Caenorhabditis elegans: one gene and its partner. The protein of the gene in region 1 purifies or fractionates together with the protein of each later gene. This does not show direct contact. Each region holds a gene or a part of one and is shown on either strand. Other genes may lie near its edges.

Region 1 (6,966 bases):
GCATTTGCAGAAAAGTGGATGAATAACAAGTCTTCAAAGGTTGAAAATCTTCGTTTTCAATGGCAATCTGATGTTGAATTTAAACTTGAAAATCTTAAAACAAGCCGATGGGATAGTACTAGAAGAGAGCGAAATTACATTTTCACAATGAAAAATGAATCAGTTCAAATTGATTGTTCCGATGGTTTTGAGTTGGAAAGAAATGATGGAAGGCTTGCAACATTTGTAGTTGAACAACAAGAAGATAGAACTCATATTTTGTACTTTCTCGTTTGGATAGAACTGTTTCCTGAGAAGAAAAGACTGGAAAATCTACCAAAAACGCTTGGACCTTTGTACAAACAGCTCGAAAAGATAAATCGTGATTATCCAGATGAATCATCATTGGAAAGACTTTTATCGAATCCTAATCTGGTGTATACAGAGTTTTTGGAAACTTATAAAGTACTGAAAAATATGGATGGAGAGAACAGATCACCATCTACTGGACAAGCTTTTCGAAGAACTATATTTGATAAAATTTACAATACTATTGATTTATAACATATGAAATATAATTTTTTGAAATGTTAAAGTAATCATTTTCTAGATTTTGAATAAATTTTTTTTTCATATATTCCTTTCAATTAACTCCGCTTTTTTAAACTACTTTCTAGGTTAGCTGAACTGTAAAAAGAAAATCAGAAAGATTCGAATTTCTGACACTTTTCAGGCCTTAAATATTCCCGGAGAATAAACTAAAAAGATAGTAACAAAAAGGCTAAAACCAACTTAATTTGGTCAACCACCAAATGGCAGTCCGCGGATTTTGAGCCGATTTTCATTAGTCGCACAAGGATGCTTTACCCGTGATTACGTGTTAGTTTCGGATCCTATGTTCTGTGAAATCAGTTTGGAAATTAGTTGTGTAGTTTTTTGTATCAATCGCGATAATAATCAAACCCTTGTCAAAAAGGCAATTAAACGTATCATTAGTACTTTGTGTCATAGTTGTGTGTGACCTCAAAGGGGTCCATCCTCTCTCGTCTCTCACCCGTTCTATTAGTACCACTGGGGAGTCTCTCTATTTCTCTGTGTACTCTTCTTCTGGGCTTCACCCTCGTTCATTTGCATATCGATCAAGACCATTGGTCACTCGTCTGTCACCATTGTTTCATTGTTTTCAATGGAGTTCATGTCAAGTCCGTTTCCTATTACAAAACTACCACTGGTGCCGCGTTGCAAGATTTTGAAATTTTTCGACTATGGAGACTTGTGAGTTTTTTTCCAATATTATACTGTAAGAACAACATTTTGTTTGAAACTGAAAGCCTCAAAGAACCGACTCAAATAACTTAGTTTTAATATCTAGATTGGATATATCGCTGTGCTCCAAACGAATGGCTCAAACTGTTCGAGATATTCATATAACCGCAGATTTACATTATTTGACGCTCGGAAAAGATAATCAACAATCGATTCAAATTCAATTTAAACAAGAACAAAAAGTGATTTATTGGGATTTCAAGTTAGACCTCGTGGAAGAGGAAATGCCAGAAAGACGAACTGTGGGAGCAATTGTATTTGAAAAATGGTGAGTGATTTTTTTGAAATAGAAACATTACGCATCATGAAGACAGGAGAAAGGCATGTGCGTAAGTAGGCAAGTAAGCACGCAGGTAAGCACTTAGAAAGAGGCAGGCAGAAATAAGCAATCTCGTTTCACGTGCTTACCTACAAAAATACCTGCCTGCCTGACCGATTAACCGCGTACCTGCTTACGCTTACATGCCTGCCTACCTGCCTGCCAAAAACAGATGTTCAATTTTTTGTGAATCTTACTTAGCAAAATTACTCAACAAATTTTTCAAACACCCATATACTTTATATTCCAGCCGAAAATATTCCCAACGAGAAATTGGTTTATTCCAATTTTCCTCCTATCATTACGATATTGAAGATTCAATTGGAGAAGTCTCAAAACATTTATTTTATATTTTTCCAACATCTATTGAAATTCGACTTTCTGTTCAATTCTGCAGAACTTTACGAAACTTATTTTCTTACGAGCATTTACAAAATATAGATGTTCTCACATTGCTTGGCTCAATTATGCTTCAAAATGTATTGGAAAAAATATTCTCAAGAGTGAAAATTAGAAGAAAACTTTGGGTGGAACCGGAAACTGATGATGAATATCCTATTTTACAGGTAATTTTTGATTTGAAAAAATAAGTTATTGCGTACTAATATTTAGATATTAACAAGGAAAGAGTTTCAGCACACATTATTATTATTACGGGTGTCTAGGAGTAGCCAAAGCCAAAAAGATTTTAGATTTTTTTTTAATTTTGTAAATACGCTGAAACTTTTTTCACTCCGAAAATTTTTCAGATGTTTTGTCTTTAAAAATTTGTTGAAAACACTTCACAAAACATTTTAAATCAAGGTGAGATTTGGAAAAGTAATGCGATTTTTCGGCAATTATTTTAAACAGAAAAGTGGGCTGAAACAGTTTAAGATTTACTTTAATTCAAGTTTAAAGTAGTTTTCTTTTGCTAAATTTTTTCTAGTAACCTATTTCGGATGTACCTTCTCAAATCACACGAGTTTCATTGAAAAGCCTAACCATGAGCCTATTAACCATTTTCAGGCTCTTCACGTGGAAAACTTGCATCTGGCAAGTGCTCGTTGGATGACTCGAGATCATCTTCTACAATTAACATGTTGCTCCGTGGACTTTCATGAGCATTATTTCGGATGGAAGGATCTTACTGTATTCGCTGAAAACTGGCTTAACAACAAAAACTCCAAACTGGAAATGGTCAGATTTGGATGGCCAAATGATATCGATTCTCTTTCTGCAAATTTTGAAGGACTAAAAACTCATAAATGGGATCCAAAACAACGAGAAAAGAAGTTTTTATACTCAAAGGATAATAGATTGCACCGAATAGATTGTACGAAGGGATTGGAATTGGAAAGAGATGATGGAGAATTGGCAACTTGGATATATGAACCAGATCCATTAACTTCATCTTTATACTTTCTAGTTTGGACTGAAAGATTTCCAGAGAAAAAGAGATTGGAAAAACTCCCGAAAATGCTTGCACCATATTATGAACAATTGGTTCAATTGAGAAAAGAATATGATGATTCTTGTAATTTAGAATGGCTTCTTTCAAATCCAAATCTAAAACTTGACGAATTTGTGGAAACTTATAGAATTCTACGTGGAATGGATTCAGAGGTTAGACTCTCTTCTATTGGAAGAGTGCGGAGACGAAGAATATTTGATGAAATGTATAATATTATTGATGCACAAAATGACTAAATTAGAGTTGACTTTTTTTATTAATAAATTGATTTGGAATGAATAAAGTGGAGAGGTTATCTATCGATAACTTCGTATTATGCTGGAGTGTTTCACTGTGGAGATACTCAACAGCTCCAAATCAAAACTGCTCAAAATTGATTTTAGATAAAGATAAAGTTTATGCGAAGAGGGCATTCACCGACAAACACACACACGGGCAATAAAATATCTTTTTTTATCAATAAACACATTGAATTCAGTTCAGAGTTGAGCGATTTAACCATCCAACTTGAATCCTGGTAATTAATTTTCTTCCAGGACTTCGTCAATAAAATTCATAGCTTAACAAAAAATACGAAAAAAAAAGTTTAAAATTCACAAAAGTTGAATTTCTGATTTTAACCAACGAGACTCACATTTCAGGAGTGTGGCTTTTCAGTTATGGTGCATCGTATGATACAAAATGTTGACCCATATAACTAAACTTTCACAACAAGTTATCAGTAAACTATACAATCACTTGGTTATGTGCTCGATGTCCACACAACTTTCACTGTCTGCGTCTTCTCACACATACATTCTCTTTGTTTCTTGTCCCACTCGGTCAGCAACAGCCGTCCGGTTGTCCCCAGACCCCCTACCCAAGTGCTTTTGAAATCGAAGCGACAATTCAAATGTTGTCTGAGTCTCCTCGTCTTATCGTGTTCTTACTGCTCCTTTCCGCGTTCGACCGCGCCAAGAGCACGCACTTTTCCGCCTTTTGGGGTGCCATTTCATGTGGACCACTTCGAACACTTAGGTTCTCGACATGTTAATTTTTCTGTAATTCATTAGTTTATTCGGAAACTTTCATGAACATGTTCAGTGCATCGATTGATATACGTGTACAATCGATGAGTAATCATCATGCATTTTTGATAAGAAACACTTTTTCTTTAGTTTCATATTCCTAACAGAAAAAAATTTGCGTTTTGAAATAAAAGTTTAATCGTGCTGCAACGCCAAATTAAAACGCTCCGCCCACATATTTTGGGTCTCGTTAGGTACTGTAGAAAACCGTAAACTAAACGTTTTCAATTTTTTTTCTTTTTCTATGTTATGCCTAACATGTTAAGAGTTTCTATTTTTATGTCGAAATTAATGAGATATGAGATAAAATTAATATCCGAATGAAAATTATTTTATTAACATTATTTTGGCATAAATATCTTTAAACATGAAAACATAACAAAAAAGACTAAAAATGATTCAAACCGAGTGAAATCTTACGGTTTTGCTACCAATACCTAACGAGACCCAACGTTTGGGGGCGGTACCTTTTAAACTCAGAAATTTAAAGGCGGGGCTTCGTTCCAAAACTGAGAAACGTGAGTAAAAAGTAGAACTTTTTAAGCAAACAAACTATTGACTGTCATGTTTATTTTTTTTTCGAGTTTCCGCTCTAAAAATTGTTAAAATCTTGATATATTTGTTCACGTTCCTGTGTCTCCGAACGAAGCTCATCCCACGAATCGCATCGACTCTAAAATACACTAAGTTTTGAGACCCGAAGAACTCGGGGGATGTCCAATTGGGGGGATTACCAACTCGGGGGATTGGCCCCGCCCACAGAACCGTGGCTTGCAATACGCCCATTTCTGCAACTGCCGCACGGTTTTAAAATCATTTTTTCTTGTTAATCCTCACTCTATTGATAAAAATACAGTTTTAAAACCGTGCGGCAGTTGCAGAAATGGGCGTATTGCAAGCCACGGTTATGTGGGCGGGGCCAATCCCCCGAGTTGGTAATCCCCCCAGTTGGACATCCTCCGAGTTCTTCGGGTCTCCTTCGGGTCTCTAAATTTTACGCAGAAATGCAGAATTCTGCAATTTGACGCCAAGTTTCGTGTTTCTCACCGATTTTTTTTTAATTTTTAATTTTCTTGCTCTTGGAATCTTTAAACAGCCAAATTTGGAAACCTTCATATTATTTTTTAAGAAACGTTTGATGTACCTTGTTCTTGTTTTGTAATTCCTCTTCAAACAAATAATTTCAGTTACAGATGGCTGATTTCACAAATAACGCTCTCAAAAAGTTTAAGCTCGTTTTTCTCGGCGAACAGAGTGGTAAGTGATTCCGAGGGCCGTTTTAGTTTCAAAAAAACTTATATTCAGTGGGAAAAACTTCTATCATCACCAGATTCATGTATGATTCGTTTGACAACACCTATCAAGCCACCATTGGAATTGACTTTCTCAGCAAGACTATGTATCTTGAAGACAGAACCGTAAGATACCATGTAGAAAATTGAAACTAAATTAATTACCTTGTCAGATTCGCCTTCAATTGTGGGATACCGCTGGCCAGGAACGTTTCCGATCTTTGATTCCATCTTACATTCGTGATTCGAGTGTTGCCGTTGTCGTGTATGATATTACTAGTGAGTTCTACTAGAATCTGAGATTTTAAATTATTTTAATAATTTTTCAGATGCCAATTCCTTCCATCAAACAACAAAGTGGGTTGATGATGTTCGCAACGAACGTGGATGTGACGTCATTATCGTGCTCGTCGGAAATAAAACCGATTTGGCTGATAAAAGGTAACGAACATGCACTCTAAAATTATTCCAAACAACAAGAAATTCAGACAAGTTTCGACGGAGGATGGAGAAAAGAAGGCTCGCGATTTGAATGTGATGTTCATTGAAACTTCTGCAAAAGCTGGCTACAACGTCAAACAGGTACTTATTTTTGAAATTCGTCTGAAAATTTTCAGACAATTAAAGTAAAAATAAGCCTTTTCAGCTCTTCCGCAAAATCGCTACGGCACTTCCAGGAATTGTCCAAGAGGAGACGCCTGAGCAGCGTAAGATTCTTATCAAACATTTTAGTGATTTATTTTAATTTTTTCAGCCAACATCGTTATCATGAATCCTCCTAAAGACGCGGAAGAGAGCCAAGGCCGTCAATGTCCGTGTTAAATCCAATCCGCAGCTTTTCATCAACCAAATTTATTATTTATTTTCCAAATATGGGTTTTCAAAAATTAGCAACTGTTTCTCTCAACTCCACGCTTATGTTCCCGTTGTTGCCTTCCTCTTCATCGCTCATCAAAATTTAAATCGAATCTATTGCCTGTTTCAAATGTATCGTGCTCAAGTGTACCGTAAATGAATCGAATAAGTCTGTATTGACAAAATTGAACAGGTGGAAAAATGAAAAGTAATATCATTACAAATAGCAGGAAGCGTCAGAAAATTGCAGGCGGTATTAAATTAGGGGTGAGGGTTTAATAAATCATTAAAATTCTAAATTTGGTGATCAGATCACTCGGGGGAATGTGTTTAAAAAATAAAGGAATTATTAGTTAAAAATAATAATTACGAATTATAGAATATAAATACAAAATAATTATCAGAGGGGGTGGGGGGAGTGTCATGCTAATAAGGGGGTTTACTTAGTTTTTTGAAATTATTATTGTTGAATATTTATCGTGCACAAATTTTCGGCAGTTTCTTTTTCAAGTTCTTCTTGCATTTTAAGGCAGCATTTGATTCTATAGTAACTTGGGTCGATTTCGACAGATTCCTTGAGAACTTGAATACATTTTAGCTTCAATGAAAGTGGCTGGAAGAATGGAAGCTCGCAATAACTCATCCCTGAAAAATTACGATGAAGAAAACGTCTAT
Region 2 (6,811 bases), on another chromosome or scaffold:
CTACAAAGCACAAAAATCGTGTGTTTCCAACGCACTCAGACACACTCTATAAATACTGTTCTCGTCATGTCTTGTTGGTATTTTCTTCTTTCCCTGAAATATCGATTCCTGGTCAATCGTACAATTGGGACCATGTTAAGCGGGAAAGACATTGACCGCTAGCACAAATGTTGTCCGGCTCTCTCACAATCAATCTTTCTTCTGTGATGTGTTACGACAACCCACAACCGATTTTTTGATAGCAAAAATGATAAGATGATGATAGCGAGACAGCTCAATTGTTCGTTGTTCTAGAAGTTGTACGTTTTTTTAAATTTATTTTGCATCATTTTGAATTCATTATTTAAAAATGTATAAAATTGTTTAATTAACGGTTCTCGAAATATTTTGCCACTTCACAGCCACGATATCTCACTCAATAAAGCAAATGCAATTTGGGACACGCACTTGTGTTCGTTATTAATATCGAGTCCCCATTGAAAAAACTAGGCCACGCGGCCGTGAAGTACTCTCGGAAAACTACACCATTTTTTATTTTTTTATTCTACTTATATTTTCTCAAATCTCTTACTTTCAATTAATGCTTATAATTAAGACTCACAAAAATAATTTTTAGGTATGACACAAGAAAGTAACTCAAACTTTTTCAACTTCCTTCTTTTCGGGTTTGTGACCGCTATTGCCTTTTATTCGGGTACCCAATTCAACAAATCTAGCGAACAGGAAGAGGTAACTCTTTACATTTTCAGCTGATTGCGCACATATCCATTTACAGCACATCAACCATGCTAACTTGTATTCGGTAAAGAAGTTTGATGATGGAGCAAAAGAATACTCAATAATGTTGATCACCGATTTGGATCATGACAGCAAAGACGGGAAGAAGTGGAAAAGTTTGGTCTCTCGTGGATTTTTGAAGGTGAGAAGGACGGCAAGAAACTAATGCATTATGCTCAGCTTGACCAATATGATTTTTATAAAATGCAACTTGCTTTTTTCGAATCGCTATAGGAAATTTTCAAATTTATATTTCAGGTTTCTGCAGACCACAAGCATGCCGATATTCATTTTGACAAAGACTCGGAGTACTATGTTGACACGTAAGTTTACAAAATGTGTTTTTATAGATTTTTTTGTTTTGACTTCATTACTAAAATCATCATTTTAGAAATATTGCCGCCGGTGGACGCGCTATGGAGTTGTCTGACCTTGCCGTCTTCAATGGTAAACTGTACTCAATTGACGATAGAACAGGTCTTATTTATCAAATTAGTGACAAGAAGGTGAGTGATGAGTGGTTAAACAATGATATTTGTGTAGTGGATTGATTTTTAAAAAATATAATATTGTTTTGAAGGCACTTCCCTGGGTATTACTGAACGATGGGCCAGGAAACGTCGTGAAGGGATTTAAAGGAGAATGGATCACTGTTAAGGATACCGAATTGATTGTTGGAGGATTGGGAAAAGAATGGACGACCACTGACGGAGTTTATGTGAACGATCACCCAATGTGGGTGAAGCATGTCTCTGCTCACGGAGCCGTTCATCACGAAAACTGGAAGGATGTATATATCCGCGTTCGTAGAGCTGCTGGGATCGAATATCCCGGATACATGATTCACGAAGCTGTTCAATGGTCTGCAATTCACAGAAAATGGTTCTTCCTTCCACGTAGAATGTCAAATGAGAAGTATTCTGAGGCGGAGGACGAGAACCGCGGAACAAACGTTCTTGTGATTGGAAATGAAGAGTTGACTGATTTTGAGGTTGTGCGAGTAGGATCGGAGAATAACAAATCCAGAGGGTTTGCTGCTTTCCAATTTGTGCCAAACACTCATCACCAGCTCATCGTTGCCATCAAGTCGGAGGAAAAGGTAAGTAACAGGTTTTATCTACACAATTTTAAAAACAAAATCCGTTAATCTCAATGCTCGGTTTATAAAATTGTATTCCAGGATGGAAAACCAGTAGCAAGTTATGCAAGTGTTTTCGACATTCATGGTAATGTTATTCTTGACGAATATCTTCTTCATGGTCCATACAAATACGAAGGAATTGCATTTGCCTAATCACTTCAATTAATGTATTTTTGTCTCAATTCCCACCTTCCAGTCAGGTCCAAATCTGTGTTCTCGATATTATGTGATTTTTGTCAAATACTATGTAATGGTTATTTAAATAAAATAAATATATAAACATTTTATTCAACATTTTTTGCATGCATAAAGCTGCCAGTGGGTAAAAATATATATAAAAAAATACTCAAGTAAGTGGGAATCAATAAATTATTTAATTTACAAAGTCTACACGGGAAAATAAAATAACATTGGCAATATTTTTCTTAATATGCTGGTTTGAACCGTTTGATTTCGAGCATCACTTGATGAACGTTGACTAACTGGGAACACACGGGATTTTTAGCAAATACGTCATGGGACAGAATCTTTGTGAATCTATTGATATACTGAACGTACTTTGTGAAGATTGTCTGAAATCATCTAGTTAAAACTGAAATTCGGCTCTAGGAAATAAATTTTAACCTGTAAAATGGTGGTTCCCAGGCTGAAGTTAGTGAAAAGTTGTATGCATTCTGAATTAATACTGTCCACTGCAGGTCTCCACTTTGCATTGAAGTTTGCTACCACCGTTCCAACTTTGTCTGAAATTAAAATATTAGAGAATAGAAAATTATATATGACAACTTGCCATTATATCGAACTAAGAGTTGTGTATGACCTTGAACAATCAGAGATTCACACTCGTTGACAAATTTAATCATGTACCCAATATGTGGCTCTAGCATCTCTTCAACAAAATCATCAATACTTTTTTGTTCAAGCTCATGGACAATTGCATAAATCTTTGTATGCTTGCTTTCCTCGTTATCGATAATCGAAAGAATAAGATCGTAATTGTTAATCAGAAAGACGTGCTTATTTTTCTGAGTTTGCTGCATAGCTGACATTCGAGTCAATAGTTGTTCAATAGAGTCTTCACTGTTCTCCAAGACAGCTTCCATCTTTGCACCCATTTCCTTTCCACTTGCTTTTGCTATCATCAAATGTGCACTTGTCAGTTCGGCGTACCGTCGGACTATCTGTAACATCTGAATTTTTTTGATTATAAAAAACAATCAAAAACTTACGAAATGCGGTCTTGCATCAAGTGAACCGCTATGCATCAACTTCTTCAAATCAACAGATTTGACACTTTCGTAGTGTTGAGACATGACCAAATTGAGGCGGGTCCAAAGGAAGCTTGTGACAGTATTCCAATAATCGCTAACTTCTGGTACCTCTCTCTCGGCGAGCACTTCGGTAAACTTGTCACATAGACAAATGCACAGATGAAGACTGATGGCGTCCCAACTAAGGGCGATTTGCTCCTCGCAGCTTTTGAGCACAACTGACATTGCTCGAGCCATAGCCTGAAAGCAATTATAAGCTTTTTTCCGGTAGTGAAAAGGCAAACAACTATTGTAAATGTAACATTACTACGTAATAGATATTAGGTCTTTCCAGGTCCTCGTAACATACCTTGTTATGCAGTTCAATGGCTTCATCATTGCTGACAAGGAAAAAGTCGGTAATAAAGAGGTACTCATGGCTGTAGTGATCGACAAATGCCAGTTGAATAGAACGAAATAGTGCTTCAAATTGATACTGAAAATATAATTTAATTTGGTCCCTACCAGTTCTATTGTAAGGTATACCGATTGATGGTTCTGCGTAGCTGCGTGGGGAACAATCAAGGCTCCTAAAAAGTCGTCAGAGAGAATTTGATGTCGTTGCCCAATCGAAAAAACGGTTGCCTTATTCCGAACAACGTGTTGTTTCGACGAGAAAATTGCGCCTAATCCAGCGGGTTTTGCAAAATCAATACTTCCCAAAGCGTCTTCTTTGGTGGCCACGTCTTTCATCTTAAATAATTACTCTGGTGAATATACTTGAAAAATGTGTCTCAACCTACCGCAAGTTTGAACAGGCGTGTGGCGTATGCTTTGAAATACGTGAAGAACATCTTGCTGATGGTGTCAATGTACTCGTCTTGAAGTTCCTTGGCAGAGATCAAGTCATGGTGCAACAGGAATTCGTAGAAAAATCGGCATTTGAGAAGCTGGTGTTGAAAAACTTGGTAGTTGGACAGAGGTTTACGGAATTGGAACATTTTCTGAAGCAACCATTCCCTCACTTTTACAACCGCCTGAAAAAAAACATTTTTGAAATGTAAACTTTTGTAAAAAAAAAAACACCCAACCTTAAGCTTTAGTCCTTCCAAAATCGGCATAGTGTCGTTTACCGCTACCGCATCTCCATTTCCCCTTTGCAAAATTAAGGTTATTTTGTGGTGTAACTCGTGGAGCGCTTCCAAAAAACCCCTGTCATTTGCATCAGTGTCGTTGATAGTTTTCATCATCGTTTGAGAAACAGCAATATCGTCTACAAATTGGCTCAGCTCGACTCTAACTTTTTGCCGGTTTTCCAGTTCCTGAGAAGATTATAGTACGTTGAAATTGGAAAATTAATTTACTTGATGAATATGATGCGACTGTAGCTGCAAATTTTTCATATCCTGCCCAATTGATCCTAGATTGTCTTGAAAACTGTACAATGTTGCTTGCAAGCGCTAAAAAGTTTAATTAAATAGTCGACTGATTTATATATTGGCAATTTTTACAATATACTTACTTCAAAAACATTATCACAATGCACAAGTTGATTATGGAGTTGAGCCAACTGCTCAGAGTTATCAAGACACTGTTGAACAGAATAACGATGTGCCTCCGATAGCCGCGTGCTGACGTCGTCTGAATTATTGATTTTTCAAATGTTGACATTTAGAGACATACTTTTCGACTCGGTTAGTCCGTCACCAGAAGCAATTGCTTTTTTCACCAAATTCGGATCTGCTTTTCGCAATTGCGATAAACAAAATTCTAGCGACGATATTGTGAAACTACGGTCATTTGCCTCGGATTTTTGCAAGTTGACACGTGTTCGAGGCATTATTTGTGCTGAAATTGTTTCAATAAAAATTTTGATGAATAACTAACGTTAATAAATAAAAAATAGCGATAAACCAAAGAAAAAACAATTGGTAACACGTCGTTAAACGATGCTCCGCTTTTTACACCCCGCGCGGTGTTTAGAATAATGGTGTGCTTGTGTGCGAGGAAGGCGAGGAAAATGCTCGCCAAGGAGGTTATGCAGAACAATTGGAAAAATGAGAATGTGTGGATTTTTGAATTTTTATAGAGAATTTAATTTATCTATTTGGTATATTTTTGACAATTCGCTACGAGAAATCTAAAACACTATTAAATCTTCAAACCCCAACAATATTGAAATTTGGATTTTTGTTTAGTGAAAAAATAAGTGAAAATATGAATTTTTCTGATCAAAGACTTTCATAATAATTGGTGAAAACCTAGTTTTCAGCGCATTAGGCTCGAAATAAAAAATTTCTCAAAACTTTTTGAATCCTTCGATTCAAATATTTCCCGTTTTACAAAAAATTAGACAAATTTCTAAACTATATGGCTTCCTTCATTTTCTTGGAAAAATACACTTGAAAAATACAATGGAACGTGGAGAATCATATATATATTATTATTATGATGAGAAAAATGACTGAAAAAATTTGGAGCAAAATCGGAAGTCTTTCAGACAACCTCTCAAAGATATGCCTTGACAACCGATATGTGCAATTTGGAAGTGAATGAGGTGGAAATCGAGTATAAATATTAAGTGTTATACAGTTGAATAATACAGTTTAATAGTTAAAAAAAAATACTTCAAACAGGAAAGAGATTATCAATATGCTTCGAGTTGATCCTTGTTTTGTTTTTTGACGAAACTGTAGCTCATTTTGCGTTGCTTGGAATCAGAGTCGGCTTCCTGAGGAAGATGCGGTGGCTGGAACTGTATCCTGACGTTGAATGGATTGAAGGGCGGCATTCATCATTTCTTGAACTGGAAAGTTCTGAGATGTGCCTCCTGAACCAACCTTGCTGATTCCTCCGAGAATCTCCATTGGGAACGGGAAGATGATTGTGCTGGTTTTCTCGGAACTGAAATTTTATTTTGTTAGTTAAAAGTTGATAGTGCGCTTCCATTACCTGATAGCATTGAGTGTGTGCAGATATCGAAGCTGCATGGCTCCCTCGCTTTTTGAAATGATGGTGGCGGCTTCAGCAAGAGCGGCAGATGCTCTTAATTCTCCTTCGGCAGCGATAATCTGAAATTAATTGCAATCGAAATTAATAATTATTGGTCCCCCGCATTTTGCTATGCTCATCATGTCGGCTCACCTTTGCTCCAGCATCACGAGTAGCCTCGGCTTCAGCAGCCATAGCACGTTGCATTTGAGATGGAAGACGGACATCGCGAAGCTCGACACGTTCAACCTTGATTCCCCATGGCTCTGTAGCTTCATCGAGCGAGATTTTCATGTCGGCGGAGATTTTCTCACGGTCGGATAGAATTTCTGAAAGGGTATGGGTACCGAGAATTGTACGGAGGGTGGTTTGAGCCAAAAGTTTGGTAGAGTCGGTCGCATTGCCAACTCCGACGACCTAAAAATTCCAAATTAGATTGAACCGTACCAGCTGTTTAGTTTACCGAAGTGATTGGGTCAAACACCTTGAAGTAGACAACTGCGTCAACAGAAACGGTAACCGAATCGCGAGACAGAATCTGAAGAGAGAAAGATTATATCACAGTGAGCAGGTGTGTTGCGCAACATACCTCTTGTGAAGGGACATTGTACGATGCCACACGCAGATCGATATTCAAGAAAGTATCAATACA

What was found. Proteins that work in one complex are often made in the same cells at the same time.
Region 2: the proteins of rab-6.1 (region 1) and vps-52 purify together in Caenorhabditis elegans (affinity purification with western blotting, with the first as the bait; one study listed by BioGRID). This does not show direct contact.

What each region holds. Positions count from the first base shown.
Region 1 is NC_003281.10:9,004,321-9,011,286, reverse strand, and holds rab-6.1 (Ras-related protein rab-6.1), read left to right. Parts: upstream 1-5,331; 5' UTR 5,332-5,337; coding exon 5,338-5,401; intron 5,402-5,449; coding exon 5,450-5,562; intron 5,563-5,609; coding exon 5,610-5,715; intron 5,716-5,765; coding exon 5,766-5,877; intron 5,878-5,924; coding exon 5,925-6,018; intron 6,019-6,082; coding exon 6,083-6,143; intron 6,144-6,190; coding exon 6,191-6,258; 3' UTR 6,259-6,466; downstream 6,467-6,966. Other genes in the region: F59B2.9 (F-box protein), read left to right, coding at 1-543; F59B2.8 (uncharacterized protein), read left to right, coding at 1,166-1,254, 1,352-1,573, 1,875-2,190, 2,633-3,313; zif-1 (Zinc finger-interacting factor 1), read right to left, coding at 6,752-6,936. UniProt on the Caenorhabditis elegans protein: The small GTPases Rab are key regulators of intracellular membrane trafficking, from the formation of transport vesicles to their fusion with membranes.
Region 2 is NC_003284.9:7,563,528-7,570,338, reverse strand, and holds vps-52 (Vacuolar protein sorting-associated protein 52 homolog), read right to left. Parts: upstream 5,017-6,811; 5' UTR 5,009-5,016; coding exon 4,852-5,008; intron 4,810-4,851; coding exon 4,691-4,809; intron 4,629-4,690; coding exon 4,533-4,628; intron 4,491-4,532; coding exon 4,260-4,490; intron 4,206-4,259; coding exon 3,972-4,205; intron 3,922-3,971; coding exon 3,715-3,921; intron 3,665-3,714; coding exon 3,539-3,664; intron 3,430-3,538; coding exon 3,148-3,429; intron 3,100-3,147; coding exon 2,709-3,099; intron 2,662-2,708; coding exon 2,543-2,661; intron 2,491-2,542; coding exon 2,344-2,490; 3' UTR 2,194-2,343; downstream 1-2,193. Other genes in the region: Apyrase apy-1, read left to right, coding at 619-729, 776-919, 1,036-1,100, 1,169-1,283, 1,358-1,876, 1,958-2,071; sto-1 (Stomatin-1), read right to left, coding at 5,886-6,072, 6,121-6,239, 6,313-6,576, 6,623-6,697, 6,749-6,811. UniProt on the Caenorhabditis elegans protein: Acts as a component of the GARP complex that is involved in retrograde transport from early and late endosomes to the trans-Golgi network (TGN). The GARP complex facilitates tethering as well as SNARE complex assembly at the Golgi.